Astyanax mexicanus: one gene and its partner. The protein of the gene in region 1 interacts with the protein of each later gene in a pairwise test. Links are inferred from orthologs where the notes say so. Each region holds a gene or a part of one and is shown in the gene's direction. Other genes may lie near its edges.

Evidence for each region. The genes of interacting proteins can lie anywhere in the genome.
Region 2: the proteins of lrp2a (region 1) and mapk8ip2 interact in a two-hybrid assay, tested with the Homo sapiens proteins (2 studies listed by BioGRID). The link is inferred for Astyanax mexicanus from reciprocal best matches to the Homo sapiens genes LRP2 and MAPK8IP2.

The regions. Positions count from the first base shown.
Region 1 is NC_064418.1:37,581,651-37,588,603, forward strand, and holds the start of lrp2a (low-density lipoprotein receptor-related protein 2a), read left to right. Parts: upstream 1-3,948; 5' UTR 3,949-3,963; coding exon 3,964-4,132; intron 4,133-4,807; exon of another isoform or gene 4,808-5,041; intron 5,042-6,953. UniProt on the Homo sapiens protein: Multiligand endocytic receptor. Acts together with CUBN to mediate endocytosis of high-density lipoproteins. Mediates receptor-mediated uptake of polybasic drugs such as aprotinin, aminoglycosides and polymyxin B.
Region 2 is NC_064416.1:15,328,491-15,336,166, reverse strand, and holds the start of mapk8ip2 (C-Jun-amino-terminal kinase-interacting protein 2), read left to right. Parts: upstream 1-4,665; 5' UTR 4,666-5,067; coding exon 5,068-5,132; intron 5,133-7,676. UniProt on the Homo sapiens protein: The JNK-interacting protein (JIP) group of scaffold proteins selectively mediates JNK signaling by aggregating specific components of the MAPK cascade to form a functional JNK signaling module.

The DNA.
Region 1 (6,953 bases):
TCCATTGTGTTGCTCCCAGTCTCTCTCTCTCTCTCTCTCTCTCTCTCAGTGCTAGTCTGTGCTGAGCTGGAAAGTTTCTCCGGTTGCTATGGGTTACAGAGATTCGCACAGATTTCCGTACTGGCTTGTAAATAACTGTTACGACGGTTTGCCGTAAAATATGGTGGTTTAATCAAATCATTTGTTAAAATATATTATATATAAAATATATAAAAAATACTGATCTGTGTGTAAATGTTGACGTTGCAAATGCTGATCATGTGAAATCAGCCTTTTCTCCACTGGCTGCAGCTCTGCATCAGAACCTTATACCCATAATAAATGCAGACCAGGAACACTAGATGGCGCCATTGCTAAAGTTTGGTTGTTGTTTTTTTCTTTTTAATTGTGGTTATTGTATATTCCATTATGGTACATTTAAAATCCGTAAAATCGCACAAATAATAAAGACCAGAAACATCCAGCACAAACATTTGAAAATACACAAAAAAATGGTGTCATGACAAAATATAGATCAAGGTAGGTAATACTTTAGGTTAAATAAAAAGAACACAGCTAGTGTAAGCTAAGGCACATTTTAAAAAACAGAAAACTTTGGAGTTTTATTTTTCAAGTCAACATTCTTAATAGAGAGACAATTTTGGAGATCGTTCCAGAAAGTATAAGACAAGAAAAAAGAGATCAGAATGAGTAAATTATTCATTATAAATTATACAATTTTTGGGGAAATCACTATGCTCACAGTCCTCATGCTATTAGCATATCGACCATTGAGCAATTTTTCATGTTTTCTGCTAATTGTATGCTAAAAACTAATTCCTGTTACTTTTACTAAGTCCTGTTGCTAACAACATGAAAAGTAACAGGAATGAGTGCTAGTAACAGGAGTGAGTGCCAGTAACAAGAGTAATGAGTAATAACAGGAATGAGTATGGTCCCCTAGTTTATTGATGTATTAATATGAATGTAAGTTAGTGTAATACACTTTTTCCAATTCTGTTTGGTTCGTCATTTATCTATTTGTTTAATAAAATCAAATGATAATAAATTTGAAAATCAATTTCAGGTGTGGGTCTTCTTGATAAGATAAAAATGGCCTTGCATGCATAGTGATTTTTTTTGTCATAAATATCAATTATTTGAACATGGAAAACAACCCTTCTTTCAAATAAACACTTTCTTGAGAGAAAATCAAAGGAATTAGTGGACTTGCTTTTAAACATGCTTTTCAATGTCACATGAGTTTTTGTAACAGGGCTGAGAAAAAGTTAACCATCCTTCAGCTTAGAAACCTTAAAGTTAAAATAAACCGAGGACTCCCTCTAGCGGTTGCAGTAATTTTCTGATATAACGGTGGATGTAGGAAGTGGGTAAGCTCTTAATAAACCAGCTCTGATTCAGCTGCTCTATGAGCGGGAAAATAAACGCACGAGCCACCGGGTGGGTTAGGAACATACCTGTCAAGTCTCCCGTTTTGGCCGGGAAACTACCGTATTTTACTCCTCTTTCCCGCCGTCCTCCTGTATTAGTATTTTCCCGTAAATTTCACGTATTTTATTAAAATAATAAAATATATATTATTGAGGAGACAGGGCACTGACCGCTCTGTGTCTCTTAACCAATCGTGGAGCCGGTTCAAGGAGAAAGTCCCGCCTTTCAGGAGAAACAGCCATTCAGCTTGCAAAGGAGGGTCAGTGTGGGGAAGCCCCCCGTCGCTGTGAGTTCAAGCAGCTAGTCGGAGCAGCTGATGTTAAAACATATCTGGATATTCAGCGATTTTTCTTAAAGAAAGGTAACGGTATAGGCTAATCATGGAAACTGTGATGAGATTTTTCTGATAGCTGCTTAAAAATACTCGTCTCCGAAATAAAACACACAGATTAAACCTTTAAAAAAAAAAAAAATACAGCTTGTGAGAGGACCGAAATTATCTGAACTGATCAGGGGTGGAGTGATCAAAAGAAAGAAGTATTCATTAAAAGTTATTAATTGTGTAGGCCCCTTAGGACTAATTTTTACTGATGGAATATATCTGGTCCATGTCCTTTTAGTAAAAGCTCATGATACTATTTTTAGGTCACCAACAGTCATTTTGCAGAATTTGCGCACCCTTTGTTCAATTTTAAATCCATTAAATAAATAAAAATATATCATATAAAAGAGTGCATTTATGCCAAAAAATACATGAAATCTTAACTTTTTTTTAATATCTAGAAAAGGGTTTTTAATTTGGCTGTATTAAAAGAATGACATATGTAGGAATTTCCACAACATTTCAGATTCTGATAATCTAATTGTAGTGTGTAGGTGGTTTACATGTGTCTTAAAATGTAAGGGATACTGAACCTTCGTTGGGCTGGTGGGACGGCTTTAAGCGGACAGAGGAAAATATCCCTTATTTTTAAATCTAAAACTTGACAGGTATGGTTAGGAATAGTCTTAGCCAGTTAACTGTAACTAACATTCTGACAGAAGCTGTATTTTTTCTCAGTTCGCTGGTTTGTAGTTAATTTAGCTAGTTTGTTTATCACAGTATTTAGCTTACCAGTATAGTTACATACTAATTTTATATTACACTACACCACAACCTGATTGAGGAGGCGTAGGTGTTCCTAATAAAGTGCTTGATGAGTTTATATTAGATTGCTATTTGTAATGCTGTATCATTTGTGGCCTTGTAAATGTAGATGGTCCCACATTGTCAGGTTTAACTGCATTTCCTGTGGTTTGTGTCTTTCTGACTTGTATTCTAGGTTCTTGTAAACTTGTCCCATGAAAGCTAAAGAACTGCTGCACTAACCTGCAGGATATTCAGATGGGAAGTCCTTGTCTGTTTGCACAAAAAAATGGTTATACTTTAAGTCTTATACAGTTGCTATTAGAAATTATAAAACAGAACACACACATTTAAATAAGCAATAAAAAAATATACTGTAAAACAAACAATATTGTGTAATTGTGAAATCCTTAACTCATTTGAAAAAAGCTGTTGTAAGCTGTTTATATTGCTTGCAATTTAGGTGAAGCAAGCATGTGTAAAGCATTTTAATGTAAAATTGCTTAATTTTGCTGAATTAAATACAAGTAACAAAGTAAACGAGTAACAAAAATATGAACACCACACAAGGTTTAACCACTACCTCAAATCAGAAAAATTTGTACAGTATGAAAAATTCTATATATTATTTACATTGTAAATCATTACTGAAGTCATCCAGACTATGACGTAAAAAATAAGGGTTCATGTAGTGAACTTAAAATGCTAAACAAACCAAAGTACTCTGTGAAGCATTTAGGTAGGCTTTTACCTGGGGTGCTGTTAACTTGCGGTTTCTGATAAATTTATTGTCGTGAAATTGTTCAGATTGAATGATCTTCATTTCTTAAAGTAATTTTATTACTTTGAATAGGTCTTGGCATAATATGAAAAGAAAATTGCTCAAATAGGGCTATTCACTGTATACCAACTCTACCTCTTCACAACTTCACAAATGATGCTCACATTAACAGGGCAAGAGAGGACAAGAAATTCAAGTAATTAACTCTCAAAAAGTTCAGCACAGCTGTTAACTGAAAGCCATTCCAGGTGACTATACCTCATAAAGAGAAAATGATACTGTATGTTAACAAATTAATAGAACTTGACTAGATACAATATGAAATATCATAATATTGCTTATTTATTTGCATTTTTTATATTATTTGTTAAACGTATTTAAATGTATGCATTTTAAATACAAATATTAAATGTAAATTAATAAATCTATGTGTAGGTATGGTGAACGAAAGAGAGAGAGAGAGAGAGAGAGAGAGAGAGAGAGAGAGAGAGAGAGAAAGAAAGAGAGAGAGAGAGAGCAGTCATTAGGCAGTGATCTGTGGGTGCCAGCTCAGGATTTGATCCTAGGAGCCGGAGGTGGGGGGAGTGTGAGTGTGTGCCTAAGCTTTTAGTAAACGCCCTTTTCCATGAGGCCGGACACAGAGAGGGTGAGGCGAGCGGTGAGAGCATCTCAGTCCCAGCAGCTCCATCTGGCCGCTACTGCAGGGGCTGCACACCGCACCAACATGCAGCCAGCACTGCTCGGCACGCTCGTGCTTCTGCTAACTTTTTGCACTCTGCGCTGCAACTGCCAAGGTGAGTTTATTTCATTTCATTTAGCTAACTCTCTCCATGTCATTTATATCTACAAGTCTTATACCCTAAATCACCGAGAGACAGTGTTTTAATGTTGTGCTGGAGCCTGAGATAACAATAGATGTTCATGGTAAGGATGCTCTTATCTAAGGAAACTTAATTATGTCTTAATTGCATTAGATTAAGTGGAAGATGACCTCTTATGGCGTAGCCCAGTTAACTGCTAGTTAGCTAGCTAAAAGATCTAACTAAAAATAATAAGCTGAGTGCTTTATCAGTCTGTGTAGATACTGGACTGTTAGCTAGTTAATTAAATACACTCGTCACTAGCTAGCTAACTAATAAGGTTGTCCAGCACGAGACACCGTTAGACAGTTAGATAGTTTAGCTAGCCACTGATACAAAAGTTTGATAATGGAAAAACTATTTTAAGAACTAAGCATCAATGTTTGCTTAAGTAACGTTATTCAATAAATTGCTGTTGGCAACAGTTGTTGGAGGTAACTTACCCCTTACTATTTGTCACTTTTTTCTTACTATTTCTCAAAATACAGGTTTCTTAAGCTTACGTACTCAACAGACAGATGTGTAAAAATCTATTTCTCGATGTTTTAAGGCGTTAAACTAATCCATTCTATAGTCTTTTGACATTATACATAAGAATTGTTCGTTAACCTGCTGCTGGTGCACAAAAGCCTGCCTGCCTGCCTCTCTCTCAGACGGACCCGAAGTTCTCCCGGGCTGCTGTCCAATCAGCCGCACGTGTCGTTTTGCGCACTAGGTAGTGTGGGTTTAGCGACTGTGTGGTGACATAGCTTTCTACACTAGACACCGCAGTGGCTGTCGGACACACAACGCTCAACAGCGCTCAGCGACTGTATGAATCGCTGTGGAAAGTAACGGAGCGCCCCGCTTCGAGCACTACCGCGCACGCCAGAAGTGTGCTACCTAGACCGCAAGCACGCTTATTGGAGCGCGGCCCTCGGCAACTTTTTGCCTAAGCTTTACCGTTGCTAGGCAACCGAGGCGAGCATGTGACTAGCAGACAATCTCTAGACCCAAAGCCAGGAGTACAAAGCTAATTCAAAGCAATTTGAACGCTCTGCTTAGTTTTCAGGGAGACCAAACCGCTTAAAGCCTCTCTCGGACTGTTTATGGATACTCCCCAGCACGACTGGGTGACCCGCAGGTGCCCGAGGTCTGACAACCTTGAAGGTTCCCGTGTCTTCTGGTGTAAAATGTTGCTGGAGCTGGCGAGGCTCTCGGATTGTAATCTGCTTTCTTTTTTGCCAACCCTTAGTATGTAAGCTCCTTACTGTGAATCAAGCCACTAATTACACTGCAGCTGCCGTTCAGGGCGACCATTACTGCCCCGTGGAACTGAGGGACTGGGAAAGGGGGTGCACTGTCGTGACTACCTGATTGAAAACATGTTGTTTCTTTAAAACCCTTATTTTAAGTCCCTTAAAAATTGATGATCAAGTTGTTAACCCTAAAGCAAAGACTATTACTGTATATCTCTTTAATTGATTAACTTTCATGGAGTTCCACACGTGTCTATTTTAAGGCCTATAAATATAGCTGGGTAAGAGGACAAAAAACTCATATAACTTATTAAGTACCCTAAAAGTTAAGGATCACGTTGTTAACCCAAAACCAAAGACTATTACTGTATAGCCCTTTAATTTATCAACATGCTGGGTCTATTTTAAGGCCTATAAAATAAAGCTATGTGATATGACTAAAAAACTCATATTACTTATTAAGTCCCTTAAATTATAAGTCGCAGATCAAGTTTTTAACCCTAAAGCAAAGACTATTACTGTATAGCTCTTTAATTTATCAACATGCTGCGTCTATTTTAAGGCCTATAAAATATAGCTATATGATATGACTAAAAAATCATATTACCTTTATAAGTCCCTTAAATTAAAAGTTGCTGATCAAGTTGTTAACCCTAAAGCAAAGACTATTACTGTATAGATCTTTGCCAGCTTATGTGCAGAGCCACAGGCTTCTATTTTAGAGCCTATGAAATAGGGATGTGTGATATGTATGAAAAAAATCCCTCATATAACTCATTAAGTACTTTAAAGGTTGATGAGCATGTTTTAAATCCTAAAGCAAAGACTATCCATTTAAAGCTCTTTTTCTATCAGGGCCTAAGAAGTAGGGCTTGGGAGATATGACTAAAAAACTCATATCTAGATGTATAAGAGAAATGGCGATATTTTACAACATAAAACATAAAAAACATATGTAAATGTTGTATATGTAACAAGCAAATATTTACATATTAAATTTATGTGCATAAAATTACTGCACTCCCTTGTGATATTTCACTGACTTAGCACACTGCACTGGACTATGTTTTTAGCATTATTGAAGTGAAATAAAGTCATCAATATTTCTCCCTTTGATTGCATTATTAGCATGAAATAATTTGCACAAGTGTCATGTGTCATGTCTCCAGGAACCAAGCAACCACAAATGTATGTTCTTTTTAGGAATATAATCATACACAGATGGTAACCTCCCTTAATCTTCATTTATCTTTCAGAAAATAGTTGCAAGTATTTTGATATTTACAATATACTGCCCAGTCATAATATAAAAGTGATTTATTGTACAGGATTTAGAGGCTTTTAAAGGGTTAAAGAAGTAAAACTATTCTGCTATGCTACCTATTCAAAAATTGTGTACAGCGCTAAGATTATTGTTTTGAAATTGTTACTGCTGGGCATTAAGCTTAATTTTTCTTGGCCCTTGGACGTGTTTATTCTAGTGATCTGTTATAATCTTTCAGAAATACTATTGCAAT
Region 2 (7,676 bases), on another chromosome or scaffold:
GTCCACTCGTCAGCCGCTATCATGTCGTCAGATTTTGGTGCCAATGATTGACGCGCAACCCAGCCAATCACAACACGCGAACGTTGACTCGCCAGAGCATGCTGGTGATTGATTGGATGTGATTGGAGACGCAGCTCCGCCTTCTAAGACGAGGACTGCAGATTGGCCTGTTTAAGCTGCAGCTTGTGATTTGTGGGAAATTGTGTTAAAAAAAAGCAAAAGCACAATAAATAAATAAATAAATAAATAAATAAATAAATAAATAAATAAATAAATAAAAATAATAATAATAATAATAATAATAATAATTGTTATTATTATTATTATTATTATTATTAAAATTGTTACTTTTTTGTATATTTGAATCTATATCATTTGGGCATGGAATTCCACAGGACTTAAATATAAATAAATATAAAAAAAGGACGACACATCTGGAATTTAGCGTTCTTTTTTAATGATCTGCATTGTAGAATAAAACTAAAGACATTAACACTTTAAAGAAAAACATATAGAATTATTTAGTTACCGAAAATATTTAGTAAGCAACACAGAATATATATTTTATCATTTTTATTTCTGATTATTTCCCATTTTCTCCCAATTTAGCTAGGCCAATTGTTCTACCCTTTTAACTGCTACTTAGCTATATATCCCCATCACTAGTGATGCCACAGCACAAGGAGGGTGAGACTAGCACATGCCTCCTTGCTGAGTAGCATCACAGTGCACTTGGAGAAAAGCGCAGCAACTCGATTCCCATACATCAGCTCACAGACATCTTGTGCTGATCAATATTACCCTAGGAGGGATGAGGGGAAAGAGTGCCATCTTCCCAATTAGAGAGAGCAAGTCCAATTGTGCTCTCTCTGGGCTCCGGCAACTGATGGCAAGCTGCATGACTGGGTTTCGAACCAGCGATCTCCCTATCATAGTGGCAGAACATATGTTTTATATTTTAGATTCTTCACAGTAGCTTTTCACATCTTGGCTTTATAAGGTAGAGTCACCTGGAATGGCTTTCAGTTAACAGCTGTGCTGAACTTGTCAAGAGTTAATTACTTGAATTTCTTGCTTCTTAATGTGTTTGAAAGCATCAGTTGTGAAGTGGTAGAGTTGGTGTACAGCGAATAGATCTATTTGAGAACTATTCTAATCCATATTATGGAAAAACTACTTAACTAAGTCAAGGAAAAAATCCTTAAAAAAGTAAGGTCAGTCAATTTATTACATTTCAAACAAGCAGACATGCACTCTATTCAGTATAATTATTCAATTGTATATAGGCTGGAACTAGCTGATTAAACAAGTAGAATCGAGTGTGCTTCTGATTTATTGGAATGAAAATCTGCAACCACACCAGCCCTTCATGGATAAGAATGGTGGCCCATGCTTTTGACCCTACTGTGCCCTAACTGTGCTAACTAACACACCTGCAGATTGGAAACATCAGATCCTATTACAGTTAGGCAGCAGTAAAAATTCCGGCTGTGTCCCAATTGCATATAACATACTAATAATATTGGCTATATACTGTATACTAATCTTAATAGTGTGGGTTTGGCAGGTTAGTGCACACAATATTAACATTGACAAATTTCCATGACTGATAAAAACAGTAACAGATAGCAAAAATACCTTAGATCAGCATTCAGTTTTCTAATTTATTAAAACAGTTTGGATCTCTGACATCTGAATTCACGCTCACACACACACACACACACTCAAACACACACACACACACACACACACACACAAATACTGACAAGTCTGCACATCTGAACATAAAATTGCTCACACAGGAAATACCATGGCCTCATACGACCTTCACTACATTTAAGGGAACACCTTGTTCCCCTGCCCCCTCTCACACTTGCATCATATTTCCTATTTCATGACGTCATTACTTGTCCATACAGCAGGGGGCTCCACTTTTCTACATCCCTAACATTCCTCTCCATGAGATTTCAGCACCAAACTGGTCGTGAACAGCTCCTTTCTTTATGGCTGCCTAACTGAGACTGCAGGGTTAAGGGAATAAATATTGTGTGTCTTCTTTAAGGGATAATATATGAAGGCCAAAAAGCCTGTAGACCCAGGCCCTGTACATCTACAGCTACATTATGTTGTCTGTTTGGAATCTGTGTGAATTTCCTGTGTGATATCAGCCAAAACACAAATGCCACCACATCTGTACAGTTTGTCAATTTTTGTCAAACATATTGTAGATACTATACAATATTAGTGTGCTCACCATAATTTTCTTAACCATGTAGTACACAAGGCTATGTAGGGAGCAGGGTGCTATTTGAGATGTGGCCTTACAGATGACAAATCGTATTATGTCTCCAGTGATCTGATTGGCGGTGAGATCTTCCTCTGAAACTGCAGTGCTTTTCACGCTCTGCCCACACGCAGCAGCATCTGACGCATTCGTGGTGGGGACAGAGACCCATCTGTCAGTAAATTCCAAATGGGGTATGTTTTTTTCTCACACCCATATTCAGACTAAGCCCGCCTTCTAGTCCATGGATCGGCTGTTATAGGAGCAGAGAAGCCTAAAAACCAGACTACACCAACTGGTGGACAAACAGAAACACACACACATTTGGTTGGTGTACATCTGTTTGAATTTTGAGTGTGATCTAAATGGTTAAAAAAGCCATCCCTGAATTCAAAACAATGACAAAACTGATCTACCTGTTAACCTGCCAGACCCTTATTTCAACTACTTTAGTGCTGGACAGAAATAAATACATGAAGACTTTAAGCTTTTAACCCTCCTGTCGTGTTCACCTCCTACCCCTTACTTTAGTGTTCCCGGTCAAATTTGACCGGTCAGTTTTAACTGCTCTTAAATTAGCCCATAAACCATTTTTCACCACCAAATTTTTATACAAATTTTTTTTAGCTGTGAACAATGTCTCAAAGCAGTGTTTAACCTGAATTTATAGAATTATACATAAGATAACTGCAGTGAAAGTACAAATAGGCACTGAAAATGTATTACAAAATGAACGTTATAAATAATACATTGAAAACCAAAGACAAAACTCAACATGAAGGTGTGTGTGTGTGTGTGTGTGTGTGCATGTGATCTCATGCACATGAGTGGCATGTGACACTCAGGTCAGAGTGGGCCTTGCAAACATAGGCATCATATTTGCAGCACCTCAGGCCTGTTTTGTTGTCTCTAAGGGCACAGAGCTTACATGGGTATTCCAGACATAGCTGCTCCTGGCATCACTTGGTGCCCAGATCTTTATTCCATATTTCCCTGTTTTCCATTTTGTGGCCTCATTGTATGGGAGATATACTCCTGCTAAAATCAACAGACCTATGTAGGCTTGGAGGTCTACCAGGTCGATTTCTCTTCAGGTGTCACCAAACACATGCTTCCCTGTTTGTCATCTCCAGTATAATTCCCTCAATGAACTCTGATAAAATAGTTGGAAGCTAAACTTGATGTCATCCACATGAGATGACTGAGTGAGTGAGTGTGTGAGTGAGTGAGTAAGTGAGTTGGGGTGGTATGTATGAGGATATTTTCTGTCTGATGAAAGAATATATTCTGGTTACCCACTGATTTCCTATGCCGGTCACATTTGACCGGGAACACCACAGAGTGTTGAATAAAAGGTTGAATAAAACCCTCAAAATTCAATGAAAGTGGTGATCATCACTTTTATGTGTTCAAGTGCATAGTGTGGAGGATATCATAACGCCTTGAGGCAATCAGATGTAAAACACAATATTTATGAGTGTTTTAAGTTGTAAATCGGTCAGATTTGACCCGAACACGACAGAAGGGTTAAAGGTACAGAGCTATTCACTGAATACCAACTCTTTACAATACGACTGATGCCCTCAAACACATTTAGAGGGAAAGCAATTCAAGTAAGTATCTCTTCACGATTTCAGCACAACTCTTAACTGAAAGCCATTCCAGGCTTTCCATCCAGACATTCCATTTTTACTACCTTCTTGCACTTTGAATTTTAACATTTAATTACTCTTTTATTATTGTGCTCTTTTTGTTTTGGTTGTTGTTTTTCTGGTTTTGTATTTTTTTCTTTTGTTTGTTTTGTTAATTTAGCATTTTATATGTTTAATTCTCAATGGGATGGTGTTCCCCTTATTATTACATCAACCATGTAAAGTTTTTTTTTCTCTTTCCACTAAAAGCAGGGATAAAAGTGGTTTTGACAATTTATTTTTAGGAACCAAAGCAATTGGTAAGACAATTTAATTTTTCTAAATATATTAAAACAGTGTTGCTTTGACCCAATTCCACTGCATAAAAAAATAAAACATTGATTTTGTCATTGGTATATTATTATCCCCCACAACAAAATAAAAATAGTAAAATAATAATTAATACCATAGAAGGATAAATAAAGCTTTTTTTTAGTATATATTAATTATATATTATATTTGAGTAATAATCAGTTTCATTCTACGCATAATAACTAGTAATCCACTAGTAATCCATTGCTGCGTGTAGTTAGTTAGTGACTCACAAACAGTCCGTCAACTCTGCTAGCCAATCGCAGCGGAGAAGGGGCGGGGCTTGTCTGAATGCGGGTGGGAAAACGCGCAGACACGCTTCCCAAATCGGCGCACAGCGACGTTACGCCCGCCCCGCCCTCTCCAAACACCCTCCTCATCCCTCCCATCTCCTCCTCACCGCTGGCACCAGCTCAGCCTGCGCGAGCCGCCGAGCATCCCAGCGTCCGACAGTCCGCTCTGCGCGCGCGCGTGTGGATGGCAGCATCTGAGGGACCGCAGCGGTGATCCTCGCGCGCATCCTCACTGCTGTTCGGGTGATTTGGGCATCGTTTGGGAGGGGGATCCGGTTGGATGGCAGGGAGCGCGCGCGCGTGATCCAGAGAGGTTGAGGCCACTAAGCTCTAGCATCTGCAGTGAGAGAAAGAGAGAGAGAGAGAGCGAGAGAGAGAGAGATTGAGAAAGAGCTGCTGGTGTTGATCTACCTCCCCACCGTCTGTGGATGGGCTGCGTTCAGTCCGCCCCTGCAGTCGCTGCTTAGAGAGTCCTCTGTGGAAGAAGATGGCGGACAGAGCGGAGATGTTTTCTCTCTCCACCTTCCACTCCCTCTCTCCTCCGGGCTGCAGGTAAGAAACGCAGCATCCCCCCGCTCCCTCCATCCCTCATCCCTCCCTGCATCAGCACCCAAAAGCTCCCCCTCCCTGCCCCAGCTCTGCTCCTCTAAACGCTGCTGCTACTGGAGCATTCCTCAAACCCCATGTTTGTTCTAGCCTCAAGGCTGCATGTTGCATTTTGCTGGCTTCTCCCGGCTGTCCTCACTCTGCTAGCTAGCATTTGTGAAGGTTCTAGGCTGGGTCTAAGATGGGGGAATGGAGCAGGATGGGAAGATGCGGATGAAAGGATTGATTTTCCCACTATTTTTGGTTGAACATCACATAAGTCCTTGGCGCAGGCTCAGTCAGTTTCCGTAAGGAGAGGCCCACGCCCTGCAGGGCAGTGATGCAAACTGCAAACACACATCCTCATCATACTCATGTATACCTATATCATCCTATACAGCCTTGTGTCTTAAGCTGGTTAAGATGGTTGACTAGCATTGGGTATGTTTTTGTTTTGAGTTTGTTGGTTTTAGCTCCTCTACAATCATGACAAAACCTGACAATGCTAAATAATCAGTACACAGCTTCAGTTTCTCTAGGGTTCTCTAGGTTTCTCTGAGTAAACATAACCTTGTTGTTTTATTCTATAAACTGCAGACAACATTTCTTCCTAATTCCAATAACAAAAAAAGATGCAGAGCTTTCAGACCACAAATAATGCAAAGAAAACAAATTCATATTCATAAAGTATCAAAAATCAATATTTGGTGGAATAACCCTGTTTTTTAATCACAGTTTTCATGCATCTTGGCTGGTTCTCCTCCACCAGTCTCACACACTGCTTTTGGATAATTTTATGGCACTCCTGGTGCAAAAATGCAAGCAGTTTAGCTTGGTTTGGTGGCTTGTGATCATCCATCTTCCTCTTGATAATATTCCAGAAGTTCTCAGTTTGGTAAAATCATCCTTTTTAAGTGGTCTCCTATATTTTCCAGAGATGTATATGTCCAAGCTTGACCAGGCTGGTCAAATAGCATGATCAAGCAATTATCAAAATCAAATGCAGTATACATTTTGCAGGTCAAGAGCTGGTTAATCAGCTAGCTTACATATAGGTATTTACAATGATATTGGAATTATAGTGTGAGATGTTTGTTTTTTTTAGAATGGCCAATATTTAAAAAAAACAATACTTGCTGACTTATTTATTGTATGTCAGAAAAGAACCAAGCGATGTTTCGTGCGCTACTTCAGTTGGCCGACACTGACCACACTACTTAAAAATTATTTGTTGTAAGCTAGTTTTTACAATTTTAAGTTATTCCTGGGTGTCTAGTCTCTCTGCAAGTTATAAATGTATAAATCGTCATCTGTATTGGCAGATATGAATATGTATAATATTGGTGTATCCTTACTTCCATGCATAGAGTATGTGTTGATCAGCATGACAAGCTTCCTAACCATTAAAGACCAGCAGGGAAGTAGAAACGTCTTTGTATTTTGGGTTAATATTAGATACTTATTGGAGTTCTGGAGGTGAAGTGCACTCCATTTTCATGCTCTCAAAGCTGTTTAGACCTGTGGCTCTCAGTCTTCATGTGTGTCAGAGGCCTTAAACGTGGTAGGCCTCACGTAGTCCAGAAGAGATGATTAAAAGGTTTCATTCCCCTGTTTGAGGAGGATGCTCCCTTCAGGCACTGGACATCAGACATCGGACTTCAATATATGTCCAATGCTGAATAGATGCTTCTGTGTTGGGTTGTGGTTACTTAAGGCAATAAGGCTTAAAAACTTCAACATTTTAACCTCTAATAATGTTAGAATGTCATGTCTAGTGCGAAGTAAGCTTACCTAACACCCTGAAAATATCTGTATCTGATGATGTTTGAATGCCACATCTAGAGTACGTTAAATGGCTATTTTGATAATCGTATTGGTAATGATTTTCAATGTTAATATGCCACATTTGGAAGATGTTGGATTTTGGTTGCTTGTTGTATGTTGTCAGAAATTTTGGTAACTGAAAGGAACAACATATATTCACTGAGATATTAGCATCTATTGATGCTATCTGGGCCTTTTCACTATATACTTACACAGATAGATACAAATATGATGACTATGATAGATATGAAAGTGAATATTCTCAAAGTTGTAAAATGTATAATTGTTTCCTGTACCATAATTAAGTCCAGTCATGGACTATATTGTTTGTTTTATGAATAATTCCCATTCAAAATGCTGTGCAGTCCTGGGATAAGCTTATAAAGCTCTGCATAACATTATAATACATGCAGATAAGCACAAATACAGTAAGCAGTAGGCAGATCATGTTGTTTTTTTTTTGTAAACACACTGATACAGCGTTTTAGTTGCTGACGTCTTTGTGAACTCTAGACACTTTTAGGATTAGCTCAGATCCACCTGCAGCTCACGTGACTTACTGTAATGTAGAATTGATTAGATTAACCAGGCCTTGGTCTAAATCGGCACGCTGCTTTACCACAGTTTTAAGTGTTTTAGACACGCTACATAACTATAAGAAATTGCATTAATTTTATTATTAAGTTG